Linked DNA regions of Styela clava. The protein of the gene in region 1 purifies or fractionates together with the protein of each later gene. This does not show direct contact. Links are inferred from orthologs where the notes say so. Each region holds a gene or a part of one and is shown in the gene's direction. Other genes may lie near its edges.

Region 1 (3,760 bases):
GATTTGTTTGTTCGAATTCATGTTTATTATTAAGAATGTTATCTGCATCATAGGGATACAAATCTTCAATGCATTTTGAAATGATGTAATCTTATGCCAAGATTGATAAATTTCCTTGATCAATTTCCTTTATTTATATCTAAGCAAATATTTCCACTATGTTTCTACTATAATTTATCAGTAATAGTTAAACTGCAAGTAAACCATTAATTATGTGCCAAATTTGATAAACAATGCTGCTCAGATAAATACTCTTATTCTGGTATAATTGCATCTCATATTCTATCTTTACTAGCGGAATTGTTCTTTACTAATTTTCAAAACAATAATAGGGCGTGGACTGAATGAATTGTATTACCTTTTGAATAATGCCATTTTATAAGGTCATATCCGATCATTTCCTGATGGGTTTCTTCACTGCGTGTGAATATTTCTGGCTTTAGAAATGCAGCGGTTCCTTAGACATAATGGTTTAATAATGTTATGAATATGTCACTTTTTTATGATTTTGGGGAATTATTACTGCAGTTTATCAAACAATGTAAACTTCTTTTCTTAAATAGACCATTTGTTTAAGCACTGTTCATTGAATTGAATTCATTATATTTTCTACATTCTTATAATACAAACTAGCTAGCATTGAAAAAAATATATCATGACCAAAATGTGTTCAAATTCCATTGTCTATGAATGCGAAATTGCCTTACTCGTTTCCCCTGTCATTTCCGATATTTATTATTTGTGTTAACAGTGCATGAAACTGATTTATAATATCTGTTGTACATATTTGTATATAAATGGTCATGTCATATGAGACATCGGCCCGTGGTGGAAGCCAAAAGCGAGAAAAATCAAACACAGGACACAGTAGCGGTGGTGGGAAACAGACGACTCATAAAATTCCACAGGTTCGTGCATTTGTAATAATTTTCATTGATTTATATTTACACTTTTGTCATTGTCTCAGATTATTGCTTTGGGAAAGAATTTAATACTGATCCTTCTTAAGCAATGGTTCGTAACCTTTTTTTGAAGCGACCCAAATTAAAAAAAAATCGTGTGACCCAAGGATATACTCAAATACTAAATGTGTAGTACTTTTATGACTAAAATTGATTGAATAAAATAAAACAATCCGTTTTATATAACAAATATCTCTAAGAATTACTTAAAAAAAAAGAGAAAACTTCGTGTTTGCCATCAGTGAGTTCAATGAACTGCTTTTACTTAGCAAAATGAATATTTCAAATAAAGTTTTTACGCAGTGATACTGTCCACACATACAAGTACGATTGAGCGACACTTCAATACCAAATAGGAAATAAACATGGAATTTACTATAAAATAAAATAGTAACTTTCAAGTTTTTATTGAATAAAGCAAGCGACCCAAGAAATTATTTAGACGATCCATAGATTGAGAAATACTGCTCTAATATATTGAAAATTAAATTTGATAATCAAAATTAATTATCATATTAAATACATTTTTATAGTTTCTCACATTTTTGTTTATGCCCTTGGTATATGAGTGATTCTACGATTAATTTATTTGCTATGTTATTGTTATTTCTCTTTTTATGCCACAGGCCACAGCTGAACAGATGAGAATCGCACAATTAGTCAACGACCAACCGAAGGATGACGACATATTATTATCTAAAAATGTTTCACAGGTAGGCAGAAATATTAAGTAAATAAATAAAAAATAGATATTGCATTCAGGAATTTCCAAATTCAAGCTTGACCATATAAGAATAGGATTTGAATTTTTGTTATTACAGGATCCGTTTTATGTGAACAATGGGAAATTTTTATTGCTATCGAATTTTTCTCGATCATCTATGATCTATTTCTTTTCAGATTGTTGAAGTCACAGGTACCAGTGAAGAAAATGCATTGTTAGCTTTATATGATTCCAGTAATGATCCAATTAGAGCCATTGAATTAATTTTGGAAAGAGGCTCAAAGGGGGAGGTATAGTGCCTAGTTTATCTTAATTGCTCAAATTTCCTTATATTTTTTCCTGTGGCTGTCCACCGATCTCATATTTTTAAAGTAGTGCGGCCCATACATAACTCGAAGTTGAATATATTGATAAATAATTCTTGATTCGTGGACATCTTATCAATATAATTGCAATGATTACATTACATCAGTTATTGGTTGAACTATAAAATAGCATTTTATACTACGCATACCAAAAATAAATTAATATAAATTTACGACTCTCGAAAAAATCTCTCTCCGTCTATTTTAAAAGGTTAATGTTAAATCAATTTATTATGATATATAAATGTATACAGCAATAGTTAAAATTTGTTTTCATCAATTTTGCTCACCATGTAAGTGTGACGTAAAAAGTTACATTTTATGAACAATATTTACAGTTTTACAAAATCAAATGTGGAAAGCAATTAAGCTCTTGCTAAAACTAAATTTATTCGCAATCTCAACAAATTCCTTGAACTCGTTTTTAGCTAAAATGTCAAAACTTGGTTTTAGTTTGTTTGTGGCAGCATCAAGCGGGCCAGATAGAATTACCTAACAGGCAGGAATTGGCCTGCGGGTCATAGTTCGCCTATGTCAGTGTTAACCTATTAAATTTAAATTCATATCAAATCACTTTATAATTATTAATTAGCGAATATGTTAATACGTAACAATCTGGTTTTCACGTATCGTTATAGACGATTCAATTAGTAGTATTTATAATGTGAAATATTTAAAACAAATTTTCGTTCATTTTAACAGGACAGTGGATGGGAAACCGCGGGTCGGAGAAAAAACAGAGGTGGATCGAGTATGACAAGAGGACAAGACACATTTGATGACGAAACGAAAGATGATAAAACAAACGAAAACAGAAGAGAATGGGATGGCGGAGAATCGAGAGGAAGAGGTAGAGGGAACAGACGCGGCGGAAGAGGACGAGGAGGTACCTAATCCATCTAATTTATTCTGCCTTGGGTGAGGTGGGGCCGGGAGGTATAGGATCTAAACCACCTCGCAATCACAATATGGTCATCCGTATTGTAATACTCTAAATCTAAATGCTATTTTTATCAGGACGGAACCAAGACAGGACCAGAACCACAGATGATAATGACAAAGAAAATGAAAATTTTCAAGACAGAGGTCAGAGGAGAGGAAGAGGTCGGGGAAGATCTGGGACAAACAGAGGACGTGGGGGCAGAGGTCGAGGGGGTGGAGCACCAAGACATTATAAGTACAATTCCTTCTAAAGTTTTTTTCATCTTGACCGAAATTGATATTCTCAAAAAAATTTTTCATTTCTCGTTTCAGAAATCAGACATTTGGTTCAAAATATGGTGATGATTCAAATGCAAAAGACTCACTTACAGAACCTGTTGACATGTGGAGAGGAACAAGTAACGAATGTTGGGATATAGAGGTAATCATTATTTTTCTCTGATTCTAGACGCTTCTGTCAAATTTATTCGACTGATTTTGACTGAAAAGAAACAAATCCAGCCTATTGTTTTCTTTTACTGTATTTATAAAATGTACAACGCCTTCGTTCGATACGAGACCTATCGAAAAGCACATACTGATTTGATATTTAGGGTGCAATTAGGAAAAGACTGTAATTATTTTGGATGGTCAAATATTCATTATTTAGCATGATTTTAACACGTAAATCATGCCCCAAATTTGTTGTTTTCTTTTTGATTTGTCATTATTGATTTTATTTTCTAATAAATTTCATTTTTTATATAATATTGAACGTGAAATTGCCA
Region 2 (3,760 bases), on another chromosome or scaffold:
GTCTCCTTATATCAGGCCGCTCAAGCGAATCACTGTATTGCGACAGAAAACAACGGTCGAATTCTCTCTCGTTATCTCGCTGTATGCACATAATAACGAGTACCGAATGAATGTAAATGGGACGGGCGATACCGAAGTTTCGCCACCTTCACGTGTATATAGCCAACGTTCGTTTGTGTTTTGAGTTCAAGCATATTGGGGAGGAGAATAAAGAAATATGATAGTAATAATAATTAAGGTATGTAGGAGTCGAGACGACAAAGTTTTCGTGGTTGTTATCAGGACGTTTTGATAGGTCTAGTTAGCTTAGTTAAGATCCTTGCTGTAAGCGAATACCGTAATGTTTTCGGTTGATAATTCTATATCGTACCAGCATGCCGGTATTATATCGCTAAATTAATAGTAGTTTGATGTTTTTTATGTTGCCTATATACAAATATCTCTATTCTAGTACCACCAATATTTTCGATTTTTTGTAATAAGAAAAAAAAGTACCAGAATGAAAAGTTGCGGTAGATAAGTTGTGATCAAGAGCAACGGCACGAGTTTTGGAAAATGTGAAATCATATTTCCAGTTTTCCTAACTCCGAAAAAGGAAGTTGGCAAATTAAAATCAGATTTTTAATAAATGTTTTTTTTCAATTGTAAGAGAAGGTTTTTCATCCCATCGATATACAGATATAATTCGTCAGCTAATAATGAACTAATCGTTGATGGAATATTGTTCTATTTTGAAGAAAACATTGAGACTGATCCTTTGTGCAGTTGTGTGTATATTTGCATATGTTATGAGATAATTCGTTTCAGTGCTAATAATCCTTATATAACCAGTTCGTTGCTATTGGCAATTAGAACATATCAATATTGTACTAATTAAGAAATTGATTATGGCAAGGTTGAAAAAAATAATTATCTGAACCATTGAATATCATTGAATTCCATTAAATAATACAAACTAAGAAACCTGTATCAATCTGAAAAAAATATTTATTTTTCTGTATAGCCTACTGAAAACTCCCATCACTGTATTACATAACCGATATTCAATAATTGAATTAGTAGCGATGGATAACCGAACTGTAGAAGTAAGGGGTTCCAACGGTGCATATTATAAAGCATTTTTATCTGATGTGGGCCCTACTGGCATACTTGTTACATTTGAGAACAATTGGCAACCTGAAAAGATTATTCCATTCCAAGAAATTCGCTTGGCATATGATGTTGAAAGTGGAATCGAGTTCGTTGAAGGTCAAGAGGCCGAAGTTCATTCAAGAGCAAATGATAATGAACCTTGTGGTTGGTGGCATTGTCGGATTAAAATGAGCAAGGGAGAATTTTTCGTTATTGAATACCAATCGTGTGATCCAAAGTATACTGAAATTGTCACGAAAGAACGTCTCAGACCTATCAATAGCAACCAACCATTGTCAGGTAATGATATCAGGAAAGTGTCCCTGGATGTACCTGAAGATCTGCAAGACTTTTGTACAAAATACATAGATGCTCATAAGGAATTTGAACGAAGTATTGAAGCGATTTTAGTTCGGTACAACTCCACAAAGAAACAACTTGATGTTATCGTGTCAAATTCATCAGCTCAGCGAAGAGCTACGATTGTGTCAGATCTACATTTCCGAAGTCTTCGTACCAAATTACAAATGCTCCAAAGAGTCGAAGAAGCTTCGAAACAATTGGAAATAACTCAGCAGCGTGCAGAATCGTGTGTGGAAAAATTCACAGTTGGTGAAGATTTAGTTGGGCTAGCCATCGGTACAGGAGGAGCCAATATCATGGCTGCTAGAAAAATTTCTGGTGTTTTAGATATCGTTTTAGATGAGGATACACACACATTTTCAGTGTATGGTGAAACCAAAGAAGCTGTGCAACAAGCAAGAGAAATGTTGGAATTTTGTGAAGAAGAAGTTATCGTTCCAAGACCGTATGTAGGAAAAGTGATTGGCAAAAAGGGAGCTACAATCCAAGAAATGATTGACAAATCTGGTGTTATCCGAGTCCGAGTTGTTGGGGACGATGAGAATACAGAAAAGGAAATTGAACCTGGAATGGTACCATTTCGATTTATCGGAATACGAGAAAATATCAGAAATGCAAGAGCGCTTTTGGAATACCATGTTGCATACCTAAGGGACCTTGACCATTTACGAATGGAGCAATTGAGTATTAATCAGCGTATACGACAGCTTGATGGAGGGTCGAGTGCACTTCCTTCTCAGAGTGAAAGTGACATGGAGGGAAGTTACAGAAGACCCAGGTATAACCCAGGCCGGGGTAGAGGACGCAGACGCTCTGGTAGCGATAGAGAGGGAGCCACTACTACAAATTCCGAAAAGTCAATTTCAGACACAGGATCAGAAACAGGTGGAGAATCAATCACAGATAGTAAAGGGCAAATCAAATCAAAGGAACTGTTAAATAATGGATATTCAAAGTGAGTATAATATTGCATTGGAATTTGTAGCATTTACGTTAATTGGCTATTCTGTTAATTGAATAACTGCCGTGCGCATATAAACTTACAGATATTTACGGCTTCGTCCACCATCAAGTTCATGCTTTCGAAAAACAAATACCTAACTAATCCCACACCCGACATGGAATGGTAACCGGATGAGAGGCCGTGGTCCGCCATAGGGTTAAGCCATCTTATTGTCTTCACTCTTCCCTGGGATAAATATGTAAATCCTATCCTAACTGAAGGATATATTCCAAAAGGAGCTTTATTTTCATGAGCGTATAGCAAATTCAAGCCACACACAGTTATGCTTGGAATCAATTGATATAAGGACTATTTCCTTGAACAAGATTTTTTCTAACCATATACTTTTTCAGTCGAGGAAAGCCGCAATCACAGAAACCGTTTCATAAGAAAGAAACATCCAATCCAAATCACAATCGCTTTGAAGCACTAAATGGAGCTGGAGAAGGCCAAGATAAGGTTGAAAATGTAAGTTGTGCATATTATTTTCAAACAGTTTAGAACTCTAGATGTGTGCCATGGAATTTAATTTGAATTGATCATGCATTTATTCATAAATCAGCAACACTTTGAAATTTCTGACAAATTAAGTGTTTCCAACAGCCAGTGGAGATATTTACAATCGACTTCATTTTCCATTAAAGAAAATTTTTGGCTCCAATGCTGAACTCCAAGAAAATCCAATTCTGATGACAAACTTTGGCTCATGCACATCTTTTTCAATAAACTGTCAAGAATTCTTAATATTGATTTTAATTTGATTATTTTGTCACCATTGAAAATTTGCAACTCCCACTTCACAGCCCTGAACTTTTGTACTCATTTTTTGATGTCCCTGTAGTACTTTTATTATTCATTTCTTCATCAGGGGGTAGCGCCAGCACAAAATGGCACAGAAAGTGGACCACAAACCAACCCTAACACTGGAGGCAAGAAGAGACGAAATAGAAACCGGAATAAAAAGGGAAAATTGGACAACCTCACCAATGGCACAATGAATGGTGATGCCGCACAAAGTACCGGAAACAATCCTAAAAAAGAAGATAGTGCTACAACAGTCACAGCTAAATAAACAGACCTATATGTCTTCGGCCATGCGAGGCTTACGTTACAACTTTAACAAACTCCTAACTCAGCCTTGACCAAAAATACTAGTAGATGTGCATGTTGAACATATTTAATGCTGGTGTTTGCCTATTGGATCTTCGTGACACGCAAGTCAACATTTAGTTTTCAGTGTTTGATGTTCATATTTTTCTCGAA
Region 3 (3,760 bases), on another chromosome or scaffold:
CAGAAACGATGTTCAAGGCTTGAAATCCGTGGTCGCACACTGGTCGTTCGGTCGCAAATACGTCTTCAGAGTGTCGTACTTTGGTGGTTTGTATAGCCTTAACCCCTGGTCGTAGAAAGTTAATTCGAAGTTCAGCGTGTAGAATAAATGCCAATGCACCTACGGTGAAAAAATTAACGGGTTAGAAATATTGGTTTTTGTTTTATAGCGGTTTGAATGAAATCGTCCGCAGACTGGCTACACCACCCTATGGTACCGATTGTATTTTGTAAGCTAATGACATTCAAAATATGGCTTTTCATAAATGTTTCTGAACTTAGTAAAATCATTTTATATAGAGCATTGATCGGATGGTTTTGTATACAAACTCTATTTTTATTTCCCCCAAACCTGAGACTTACTGACTTAGTCCTGTAGTCTGTTAGCGCTCTTTACATAATTTTTATTCCAAATGAAGATGCATGGATTGAAAAAAACTGTAAATTCAGAATACTAATATTTTCATGAACGCTTGAATATTAATTAGATTTCAAATATGTTCCAATTTACATAATGCCAATTTGCATAATGTGTAGCGATATGAGACCTACCTTTAAATTTTCATGAAGCGAATTTAAACCAAAACTCGAATTTATAAAATGCACTTCTAACAACTTTTTTGCGATACCTTTATTTTTAATTTGGCTTTAACTCTGCCATTGCATTGCACAAAATGAAATTTTGCACTAGTTATCATTTGTCAAATAGAATACAAATTTGATCAGATATTCAGCTCGATTATAAGGAACCGAAACGTAGTTAATAAGTGCACTTACTTATGTACAGTGTTCCTATTTTACTAAATTCGATGAAGGTTTTTGCATTTGTTTTCTTGATTCAATAATTCCTATATTTCATTAAATTTTTATTTATAACTCTCAACTGAACCTTAGCAAACAAAGCTATGTGTGGAAATCAAAAGTTACTGGTCACCAGTTAAATGATCATTTAAAATTTGAAAAATCTTGAGATGCAATCAAATCAATGTGTTAGATATTTTTACCTGCTGATTTCACTTTATCCATATTTAGGCAACAACATTTAATGTTTGTAATTTATATTGAAGACTGAAGTCATACCCTAATCTATTTTCTTTTTAATTTGAAAATAGGAACAAAACAAAAAAAATTTGGTGCACATACACTAATTTTGCTTCAAACTCTGAAACTTTCATCAAGAAATGGTAAGAATGGATCATCCAAGTCCTTTCCAGGTAGGGAGGGAATTTGTGCGCCAATATTATTCCCTTCTGAACAAGGCACCAGAAATACTACACAGGTTCTATGGAGTGAATTCGTCTTATGTGCATGGAAGCCGGTATTGCAATGGAGAGCCAGAAGAAGAGGTTGTTGGACAGATGGCAATTCATAAGAAGATCACTTCATTGCAATTCAAGGAATGCCATACTAAAGTATACCAAGTCGACGCTCATGCTACCATCAGCAACGGGGTTGTGGTACAAGTGATTGGTGAGCTTTCCAACAATCGCAAGCCTCTGCGTAGGTTTATGCAGACCTTTGTTTTGGCACCCCAGGGGGATAACCCATACAAGTTTTATGTTCATAATGATATATTTCGTTATGAAGATGAGGTGTATCAAGATGAAGGACGTCAGGAACATCTTGAGGAAGAGCAAGAGTTGGATGAGGAGGTAAATGTACAACAACCACCACCCCAACCAACACAATTTGACAACCATATTGGCTCTCAAAATCAGGCTGCTCAAATTATCAATAATGATCTGGAACCTCGTTTGGATTCTCAACCTGTCACTTCTGATGATCAAGATTCTCCTGCTTTGGCAATTTCTCCCCCAAATCATCCTGAATCTGAAACCGAATCTGACCACGCTCAAGATACTGAACCTGTCGACATTGAACCTCGTAACGAATCTCCAGTCTATCCCATCTCAAATGAGAATGAAGAACCTCAATTGGAAGAAACTGCAGAAAAAGATATACCAGAACCAACAGACAACATGAATTCTGTACCACATAAGGAACCTGAACCTGTTCAACCGTACTCTTGGGCTGCTCTGGCATCGAAAAATACACCAGCACAGCACAACATTCAGCAAGGCACCGTTGTTAAAGTTAACCAATCGAATGATGGCCCGTCCATGGATCAGCAAAAGCAACAAGTTCGTAGTTCTAGACCTCCGGTGACTTCACAGCGAGATGGTTCGGGTGAAGGCATGGGAGATCCGGGCGGACGACGTCAAAGTCGTTATCCCGATAACCAGCAAATCTTTGTTGGAAATCTTCCTCTGGAAATTACGGAATCCGATCTGCGTGAACACTTTTCTGAATATGGTGAAATTGTTGAAATTCGAATTAATCATTCGAATACGAGCAATCCAAGCTTTGGTTTCATAATCTTTGAAGATCACAAAGCTGTGGAGGAAGTTCTACGTTTGATGCCGACTACATTCAAGAATAATAAGAGAATTAACATCGAAGAAAAGAAGCAGAGAGCGATGTCACGCGATGGTGGACGAAGACCCGGTCCAGGTCGGTGGGAATCTGGTCGAGATAATAACCGCGGTGGTCGTTTACAACAACGTGGTCCACCACGAAGAGACTGGGGTGGGTCAAGGGAAGGTCAACGTCCTAATAATTTCCCTGGTCGACGGTGATCATTTGCTAGCTATTTACTAAAATGTATACAATTCAGTCACAGTTTTCTTATAAAGGATAGCTGTTTAAAATACTTGGACTTTATCACTATTTCCTTTTTGCCACCAGTTGAAATTGTGCTAATACCATCTGTTCTGGTGTATTTATTATTATTGTTCAGACTGTAAATTCAGCACCTCTTTCAAGCGAGACATTGTATCAAGCGTCTAGCAATCTTTTCTACCTAATTTCCCCGTGATAACTATTATGAGTTCCGGCAAGGGAATGCCAAAAGTGCAATCAGTTGTCAGACCCAATATTTTGATTTGTAGATTACTTATCTACACTCTTGCGATTTGAATACCGACTGGGCGACTCTTGGCATTTTCTTTCCTTCCTGTCTTTCAGTTTCATTTGTTTTCAGTGTCCTTCGATATCTGTATAAAATGTTTGATGTCCATTTGACTTTAATTCATATACAAATCGACGCCGTTCATGTATCGTGTTCTCTAATATTACTTTGTAATTAATGCAGATAATTCATTTCATTGGCTTGTTTATTGTGATAGATTTTGGTTTTCTAATTTCGGCAAAGTTAGAAATGTTTCTGTCTAAATGACATGCTGTTTTTCGATTTTGATTTTTCTCTGCATTTTTCCTAGTTCAAATATTCGATACAATTGACCTGAAATCATTACATGAATTCTGTTTTTGCCTTATTTAAAGTACGTTTCAGCGAAAACTGTATAAGAACTTGGAATACATAAATTTTGTTAAAACAATTCATTGTATAACCATACCAAGTCTGCATATGAATTGGTAAGTGAAATAAAGGTGTTTTTTCCCAAAGTTTTCTTAGGATATAAATATTTGATTATAACTGTCATACATGCTTTGATGCTTGAGCATTGTCAGAATTACTTAGCCCAATGGTTCATAATTTGACTTACGGTATTTTCTTATTGTTATTGAATTAGAGTTAGGAATTTTTCTGACTACGCAAGGTCTTACAATGTGCGCTTTTCGCATTTTTATCATTAATTCTTATTCATTTTCAACTGATCTGCCGACAATAACTAATATTACCGGCCCACTGTGTTACTCGG

The links.
Region 2: the proteins of uncharacterized protein LOC120333750 (region 1) and RNA-binding protein fxr1-B-like purify together in Drosophila melanogaster (affinity purification with western blotting; 3 studies listed by BioGRID, with this or other methods). This does not show direct contact. The link is inferred for Styela clava from reciprocal best matches to the Drosophila melanogaster genes lig and Fmr1.
Region 3: the proteins of uncharacterized protein LOC120333750 (region 1) and ras GTPase-activating protein-binding protein 1-like purify together in Drosophila melanogaster (affinity purification with western blotting; 3 studies listed by BioGRID, with this or other methods). This does not show direct contact. The link is inferred for Styela clava from reciprocal best matches to the Drosophila melanogaster genes lig and rin.

What each region holds. Positions count from the first base shown.
Region 1 is NC_135264.1:6,149,212-6,152,971, reverse strand, and holds the start of uncharacterized protein LOC120333750, read left to right. Parts: upstream 1-738; 5' UTR 739-797; coding exon 798-908; intron 909-1,588; coding exon 1,589-1,675; intron 1,676-1,862; coding exon 1,863-1,976; intron 1,977-2,753; coding exon 2,754-2,937; intron 2,938-3,068; coding exon 3,069-3,228; intron 3,229-3,305; coding exon 3,306-3,414; intron 3,415-3,760. UniProt on the Drosophila melanogaster protein: Acts in the nervous system to mediate the control of copulatory organs during courtship.
Region 2 is NC_135256.1:13,109,059-13,112,818, forward strand, and holds the start of RNA-binding protein fxr1-B-like, read left to right. Parts: upstream 1-903; 5' UTR 904-1,064; coding exon 1,065-2,449; intron 2,450-2,850; coding exon 2,851-2,965; intron 2,966-3,365; coding exon 3,366-3,569; 3' UTR 3,570-3,760. UniProt on the Drosophila melanogaster protein: Polyribosome-associated RNA-binding protein that plays a role in neuronal development and synaptic plasticity through the regulation of protein synthesis of mRNAs.
Region 3 is NC_135252.1:4,648,315-4,652,074, reverse strand, and holds the start of ras GTPase-activating protein-binding protein 1-like, read left to right. Parts: upstream 1-1,131; 5' UTR 1,132-1,219; coding exon 1,220-2,674; 3' UTR 2,675-3,760.